Linked DNA regions of Xenopus tropicalis. The protein of the gene in region 1 interacts with the protein of each later gene in a pairwise test. Links are inferred from orthologs where the notes say so. Each region holds a gene or a part of one and is shown in the gene's direction. Other genes may lie near its edges. The genes, in order: mycbpap and mycbp.

Region 1 (3,824 bases):
ACAGCTTGAAACCTTATTTTTGGGTCTTGACCCTTAGGATAACCCCTGTTGTCTTATAAAAGTCATTATATGAAAGAACTGTAGGGGCATGCGCTTTATGTTTGCTCACTACTTAGGATGTGGCAGGATAGATGCCTCTGCTTTTCAGAAGTATATTTCTAAAACAAGTATATTTTCTCTCCTGTTTTGTAGATTCACCCACCTCGTGTTTCTAAAGAAGAGCAAAATATTGCTGGAACTAACCATGTTTTGGTTCGGAAGCATAACGCAGAGGGAAGGAAGAGACGTCTACTTGTGGCCCGCCCTGCGCCTCCTGAGTTGGAGACTAGAGATCTGGTATATTTAGGTATGGCAGCTTGTCTCTGCTCTGTCGATGCCAGCAAATTGCACAGCAACTCAAATCCATAAATGTGTAGTCTTTTATTATTGGAAACAGGTGCAGAGATTGCGATTTTGGATGCATTACAGGACAGTAAGCAAACTGGCATGGGAAAACAGACATTGTGTTGTAATTAAAGGGGTGGCTCACCCTTAAATATATTATAGAATGGCAAATTCTAAGCAACTTTTCGACTGGTCTTCATTATTTATGTGTTATAGTTTTTGAATTATTTGCCTTGTTCTTCCAACTCTTTGCAGATTTTAAATGGGGGATATTGACCCCGGTGCATAAAAACTATTGCTCTGTGAGACCACAGTTTTATTATTGTTATTGTCTCTCTTCCAATCCACTCCCTGGTTGCTAAGGTAACTTGGACCCCAGCAACTAAACATCTGCTGAAACTCCAAACTGGAGAGCTACAGTTAAATAACTAAAAAAACTATAATTAATAAAAAAAGAAGACCAACTGTAAATTGTCTCAGAATATTACTCTCTATCTACATCATACTAAAAGTAAACTCAAAGGTGAACAACCCCCTTTAATACACTACTAACTTGTATCCCAGTAGTAGCTAGAAATGGCTAACCTAATACTATTGCAGAAAAACCCCTTCTTAAATTCAGTTAGTACTATAATGATTTCCCAGCACTGATTTATCTCTTGTAAGTTCCCCTCTATCTATTCCTCTCATCTACTGAGAACTGGGGGTGCTCTTTATTTGGGTCGCTGTACTTGGCTACAACACCGCAGCCTCACTCTGCAATGAACAGTATTTTTTTTATCTTGTTACAGGGAATGAATTCAGTCTGTCTGGATCACAGAACCAAATTCAACCACACAGCATCCTGGGAACTCTGCAAGACTTGAAAAGAGTTGCTTCAGCACGGGGAAATATGCAGGTATCCCTCAAGCCACAAAGGCCTTCCTGTGTCTGACTGACTGTTAATTCCTAATGCTTGTTCAGGTGGAGGTAATACCGCCTACTTGTAATAGTGATGCTGTGGTACAACAGATTTATACTTTTGTACATGACCACATATTCATTAACATCATAAAATCCGTAAATACAGGGAGGCCATACTGACAGACCTTCCCGACCGATATCTGCCCAAAAATCAGCCAGTTGTCATTACGGCAGGCTTGATATTTCTGTCGGATCAAGGCCCACATCATCTAATTGATGCAGTTCTTGCACCGATTACTCATATCCAGGCCCGGATTTGTGGAGAGGCCACAAAGGCCCGGGCCTAGGGCGACAGAAACCTAAAAAGGTCTAAAAGGTCTAAAAAGTTTTGTACCCATACGGAGCAATGGGGGGACTTCTCCCCACTGCTCCGTATGCAAGTTTGGCCCACTGCGCATGCGCGCGCACAACCCCCCCCCCCCCGCTGTTCGCACATGCGCACGGAAACCCCTCTCCCCTGTATCGCGCACACATGCGCACTCTGGGGAGGGGGGTGTGCGACCGGGGGCGGCCTCGGGGCAGCTAATTTGGAAATCCGGCCCTGCTCATATCCCTTTCATTGCAATGCAATTACATAAGCACGATATCGGCCACGCATGGTGGGCATATTGGTAAAGATTTGCTTGTTTGGCTACCTCGCCACCAACGGAATCTTACCATTTATGGCCACTTTGAGACACCAAAGGGGTGGTACATTTTTAAGAGCAGGGGTACACGAGGAGATTAGTCATGCCGCGATAAATCTCCTTTGCCGCGTGCGACTAATCTCCCTGCAATGCCATCCCACCGGCTAGAATGTAAATCGCTGGTGGGATGGCATATGCAGCGCCGCGATTTGCTGATGTCGTCAAGGTTACCTTGAGAGGAAACTGAGAGGCAAATAGGCATATTTTTGCAGATATAAGTTGGATTCGGTGCTAGTAATACATGAACACAGTCAGTATTTAGCCACATATTTTATGTGGTTCTAGTGTCTGGAAGTTAATGCAGAGTTTGGCCTTTACCCAGGTAGCCGAACTTATTCCTGAGCCTATCCAAATGGGTTTCAGAAAATATGAAAAAATGGGGCTTCAACAGAACAAAGATGATTCAGTGCTCCCTATAAAACAAGACAGCTCTCTGATCAACTGGCAACATCACATGAGCCTGAGAAAGCAGCAGGTGGAGACACTGTCCCGTGAGTTGGATGTGTGAGTGATGCTGTATGTTTCCTTTTCCTAATCAATGACTGCCCTCGTGTAAGCCCTGCAGTTACATATTTGCTATGTACAAGTTGATTTATATAGGCCAAGGCACTGCTGACAAGTAACGCAGAATATATAATCAACAGTCTTTTCTTCTACCATCTTTCAGCACCTCTGTTATTTCCACATTCACCTTTTTTGAAGTTCTTTTGTCCATAGTTTCCTGGTCCTTTGCAGCTCTCAGATCCCATTTCTTTGTGTAACTCAGGTCGGCTGGGTAAGCCTGCTGATAGCCTTGTTATGAACCTTGGGGAGGGTTTCCGAAGTGTGCAAGAGGAGAAACAACTGATTGACCTCAGCATCTCAGCAGCGGAGCATGGAAAGGTAAGACTGCAGGGAATCTCGAGGCTGGTATGGGGAAAAGTAGTAATAATAAGGTGCTTTTATCAATATCAATTTCTCCAACCCTAATAGGGCCGGCAGCTTGGGAGCGAGTTCTGGAAGTTGCCTCAGCGCATTGGGGATGAGCTTAGTGGCTTAACATTGACCCTTCCCAGAAGTGATCGTGGTTACCCAGTACCAATCACTCGTATTGGCAAACCGCATAACGTCAAGGAAGAAACAGGTATGTCACATCTGTAAACACTTTCCCTCACATAGCAATGGTGCTCAGTGAGAAACAACATGAGTATCAGAGGAGTTCTTAACCTTATTCTGGGATGGTTTCCAGGTGCTACACTTCGCTCAGCATATGACCGCAGTTGGGATAAGAGTCTTTACCTTGAGCAGCGGCGACACGAGTTGAGAGCTGTCATGGAGGAGCTGAACTTTCCCAAGCCAGTGAGAGACATTCTGTAATTCACTTGGTACAAAGCTAGCTATGCTCAAATGCTCTTACTGAGTAACAAAGATATAGTTCACCCTAGACATCTGTTTCCTATCCCTACACAAAAGGAAAAACAGCACAACAGCTATCGTGATACCTCTGACGTCACTAGGAATACAATTCCCTCCACCCCCAGCGCAATGAAAGTGTTACCCTAGTAAAGCTTCACTTACACATTGCCACTGATTAACCTCACCCCAACACATTCACACAGTGACTATTAGCCCACCTTGTAAGGTACCCCTGGCACTTCCCACCAACATCATGAATTACTTTTCTCCTCTAACATACTGCCAGTAATAACTGTTAGTCAGACATACTTCGCTTGCTTTTGTAGGACATCGATGGATTGGAAGTGATTGGACATGGGCATCCCTTCACCTCAGTATCTGCAGAACAGTTCCCTT
Region 2 (4,316 bases), on another chromosome or scaffold:
TGCAGTGTCACTGACACTTCTAACAATATCCAAAATGGGGAGCATGTGTGAACAGCTGTAAACACCTGGATCTTTACTTCTGTAGAGATGATGAGCTTTTAGCCTGGTGCAGTAAGTTTAGTATATAAAATATGGCATTTCTAGCTATATTCATTTTTACCAGCTGCTGGCATACCTTCAGTTCTTTCAATAGTGCCCTCAAGTCTCCCCATATTTCTCCTGTTCAGATGATCAGAAGCCAAACAGGAAGAAAAAACGCTGAGCCGTGTAAAGAAAGTTCCCATAATGCCTCACTACTGCACTGAGACCCAGACCAGTGTACATGCTCAGTTAGCCAATCAGCAGAAAGCTTCCTCATCGTCTAAGATCCACATTCCTAAGGGGGGAGGAACTGAGTTCTTAGCATTCTTGAGGGAGGGGGGAGCAGGAGAGGGGAGAGAGGAGAGAGCTGTGTGTATCTGGCAGAGGAAAACAGACACAACAAATCTTTTGAGAACTCTGAGTGCTTATGGCTGTATTTACTTGGAACTTTCTGATAAAGCTTACTTAGTTTTTACCTTTCTTTCTCCTTTAAAGGAGAAACAAAGGCAAAGTCACTTGGGGGTGCCAAAATGTTAGGCACCCCAAGTGACTTTAATTGCTTACCCCGTACCCTGGGCTGGTGCCCCTGTACGGAGAAAACCGCACCAGCCCGGGGTAGCAGCGCGTGCATACACAATAGAGTGAAAAGCCGAACTTTAACAGAAAAGTTGGCTACCCCGGGCTGGTGCTGTTCTCTCCGTAAAGGGGCACCAGCCCGGAGTACGAGGTAAGCGATTAAAGTCACTTGGGGGTGCCTAACATTTTGGCACCCCCAAGTGACTTTGCCTTTCCTTGTCCTTTAAGGACATTTTCTTTGAGTGATCAAAAGATTGTGTGTTGTTAGTAGGCACATATTGTGTATGAAAAATTATATTTTATAAGCCCAACGGTATTTCTTCTCACCATAAACCCAGGGAGTGTGGTTGAGGGCGAAAGGCCCCTTTAGTTATAAGGTTTCTTGAAGAATCCCTTGCTGCCCAATAGAGCAGAAGGAAATGCAACATGTGCCATTAGATTTAGTCTAATAATGGGTAGTGGTTTTTTTTAAGCATAGATTGATGGTTTATTTGTGAACCTGTGTTACGACATTTCTAAGCATTCAACACAGTGACTTGTTTCCCACTTTGTTAGTAAATAGGCAACTTTCCCCTGCCTGCCACTAAGGCCTGAAACTTTAGTTATTTCAGTACTGCATAAGCTGCTACAATACTACCAGCTAAGGTTCTGTATATACATCAGTTTGTTTTTACTGCTCTTACCATACATTGTGGTGCATTGCAAGGCAACACGTGTATTTTCTTATCTAATATTTCCGAATGTGTTTGTGTCCAAAGGTATAAAGGCCAATGCTTAATGCAATAAATATTGAGCAAGACAGATTTTTAACCATTGATCTCTGTTCTTCTTGGTACATGCCCATTTGGAAACATGAGATCAGTAACTTTTGCATTGCTATGTGCTACATTGCAAATCCCTTGTAAATTTTTAAATTATTCATAGGGATCTTGTAAAAAAAAAAAAAAACAAAACAAAAAACCCCCCAAAAACCCAAACTGCTCATACTAGCAATTGGAGTTCTATAAACTTGCATAGTAGAGAATATGTTTGCCAGTGTATTTTGGAAGTCCTTAACCTATTATGCAGCTTCTTAAAACAACACATGGGTGCTGCAGGACCTGAAACAGCAGATGTGGAAGCTCTTCGCTTAGAGGTAGCAGAACTGAAACAGAAATATGAGGCAGTACTAGAAGAAAACAAAGAACTGAAAGCAAAGGTATGTTGTGTTTGTTTCTTTTTATAATAGAGAAGCGCCCTTCTTTATTTAAATCTACACATATGTTCTTATAAAGCAGATAAGGCTGCACGTATATCACAAAAAAGGTGATGCAGGTTTATATAACTTTTGTTTAATGTATTTTGCTTAAACATGGCAAAGTAAATGTCAGCATCACTCAATGTGAACAAAGTTTGCAATCCAATAAACACAACCCAGTATAGGAGAATTACCACAGCAGTTTGGCAAAAAAAACCCAATATGCCCTTGATAAAGGCTCTACATTGTATGTTTTGGGGAGAGGGAGGCTACAAATAATCCTGGCATTTTTATCTACATTTCCATGAATGTTTGAGTGCTCCTTTCATTAAATTTAAAAGTATCTTAACTAGCTAACACAGCCGTTTTCAACCTGTGGTTTGGGACCCCGTTGGGGGTCGAACAACCCTTTCACAGGGGTCGCCTAAGGGCTCTGGTACACGGGGAGATTAGTCGCCCGCGAACAGGGAGTTTTGCCGTGGGCGACTAATCTCCCCGTGTACCAGAGCCCTAAGACCATCGGAAAACACATATTTCAGATGGTTTTAAGAATAATTTTATGGTTGGGGGTCACCAAAACATGAAGAACTGTATTAAAGGTTTGCGGCATTAGGAAGGTTGAGAGCCACTGAAGATTAATGCTATTGTTGGAGATTTATAATATTCTCCAAGCTAGGACTGGGCGGCAGCTTTTTTAAAGGATGGGAAAACTTGAAAATTTCTTTTTACTTTTTTTAATTACTAGTGAACAAAATTTGGCTGTCAGTGAAAAAAAAAATAGATTCTCTCTTGTTAACCTTTCTTTTCCAGCAGTAATGTTGTGAAAAAAAATTTTCAGTTATGTGAATATGCCATAGACTTACATAGTTATAATATTTCCTAAAGTTTGACAAATTGGATGACTAATTTGGAACAGCCTTGCAAGTTTGCATTGGCCTATAAGATAGATATTTAAATATTTTTTAACTTATGAACAAGTGTGCCACCATGCTCTTTCCTCAGGTGTTCTGTTATTGGCCCACATCAAAATCTATTGCTTGTCTATAGGCCAGGTGAAAGCATTATTATTACTCAGTTCCTTCTCTTATGGAATGTAAGACCCTTTAGCTATCCCTGCTGTTCCCTGGTTGTTTACATATTTACACAACATTATAATAACATCAAAAAGTTATGCATGAAGCAAGGCATGTGATCTGAAAAAGGTAATAAAATTGTGTACCACTTAACCATGGATGGCCATGGAATAACCTCATGTGATGGTGTAAACACATTTTTAAATACAAATCCTTGCTTTTTCAGGTGATGGAACTTTATCAGTAGTGCCACAAAATATACACAGTTGTAAGGGGGTGTGTCATACAGGACTGTACTGTTATAGAGTTTTAATATACAATATATAATAACAATCTATATATTTCAGTACATAGTCTGCATTACCTGTTTGTCTTGTACTGGTTATGTATTAATAGTTTTTTATATGTATACATTTGTCAGCCCTGAAGTTTAACTTGTAGATGGTCCATGTGTACCTGACTTTTTGTTAGTGTTAATTATGGCACACTGATTCTTATGTACAGTATATACTTTTGGAAATATTTAAATCTTATTCTGGTGTGTGCCCTCATTTTAAGCTAATTTTATTCCTTTTGCTCTTGCAGCTTGCACAACATGATCCAGCACAACATCTAGATGAAAAACGTTCCGAGACATAGATATTTTACATTCTACCTACATCAATACTGCACTGGAAATCCAAATATATAAGCTTGAATTTTGTTATATTTTGAGCACAGGAAAAGGCACATTTAGTGTCATATTTCTAAAATTATTTTCTATGTTCTCACAGTTCTAAATAAACTACTAATTTAAAGCAAAATTTTATTGTAGTTTTTTTGGGTGAGACTTTAGTGAATGTGTACCCTGTGTCAGCAGAGCAACTTCTGTGGGGCTTTTGTTCAAATCCAAGCAGACAGATATCCTCATTGAAACACATATATAATAGTACAATATAATTGTAATCAACATAAAAAAAAGTTGTAAAAATCAGGAAAGCAAAGATATAAAACGAGGAGCACATTGTGGCAGAGTCTAACACTAACCCTAAAAAGTATACTATTAGTAAAAAAAAAAAAAAATGCAGATTGAGGGTGTGGCTCCATTACATAATGATAAATAATGCGGTTATAATGGATACTGAAAAGGAAAATGTGCTTGTTCAGTTCTTTCCTTTTTTGTCGACAATTGAGAAGTTTCAATATCCACCCAATAGGGACACAGATAGCCCAGCTCAATGTAGTTAATGGTTTACAAGAGGATATGGTGCATAAAGGATTACTCAAAATTAATTTGAACAATGCACCAGGACCAGATGGAATACACCATTTGGTACTTAAAGATGTTAGTTCAGTTTTGGCTAGGCCTC

Evidence for each region.
Region 2: the proteins of mycbpap (region 1) and mycbp interact in binary tests that used the Homo sapiens proteins (3 or more experiments, as listed by UniProt). The link is inferred for Xenopus tropicalis from reciprocal best matches to the Homo sapiens genes MYCBPAP and MYCBP.

The regions. Positions count from the first base shown.
Region 1 is NC_030686.2:43,588,818-43,592,641, forward strand, and holds part of mycbpap (MYCBP-associated protein), read left to right. Parts: intron 1-192; coding exon 193-346; intron 347-1,175; coding exon 1,176-1,282; intron 1,283-2,355; coding exon 2,356-2,524; intron 2,525-2,799; coding exon 2,800-2,915; intron 2,916-3,005; coding exon 3,006-3,156; intron 3,157-3,261; coding exon 3,262-3,371; intron 3,372-3,754; coding exon 3,755-3,824. UniProt on the Homo sapiens protein: May play a role in spermatogenesis. May be involved in synaptic processes.
Region 2 is NC_030678.2:80,435,267-80,439,582, reverse strand, and holds the end of mycbp (C-Myc-binding protein), read left to right. Parts: intron 1-1,725; coding exon 1,726-1,855; intron 1,856-3,552; coding exon 3,553-3,606; 3' UTR 3,607-3,770; downstream 3,771-4,316. UniProt on the Homo sapiens protein: May control the transcriptional activity of MYC. Stimulates the activation of E box-dependent transcription by MYC.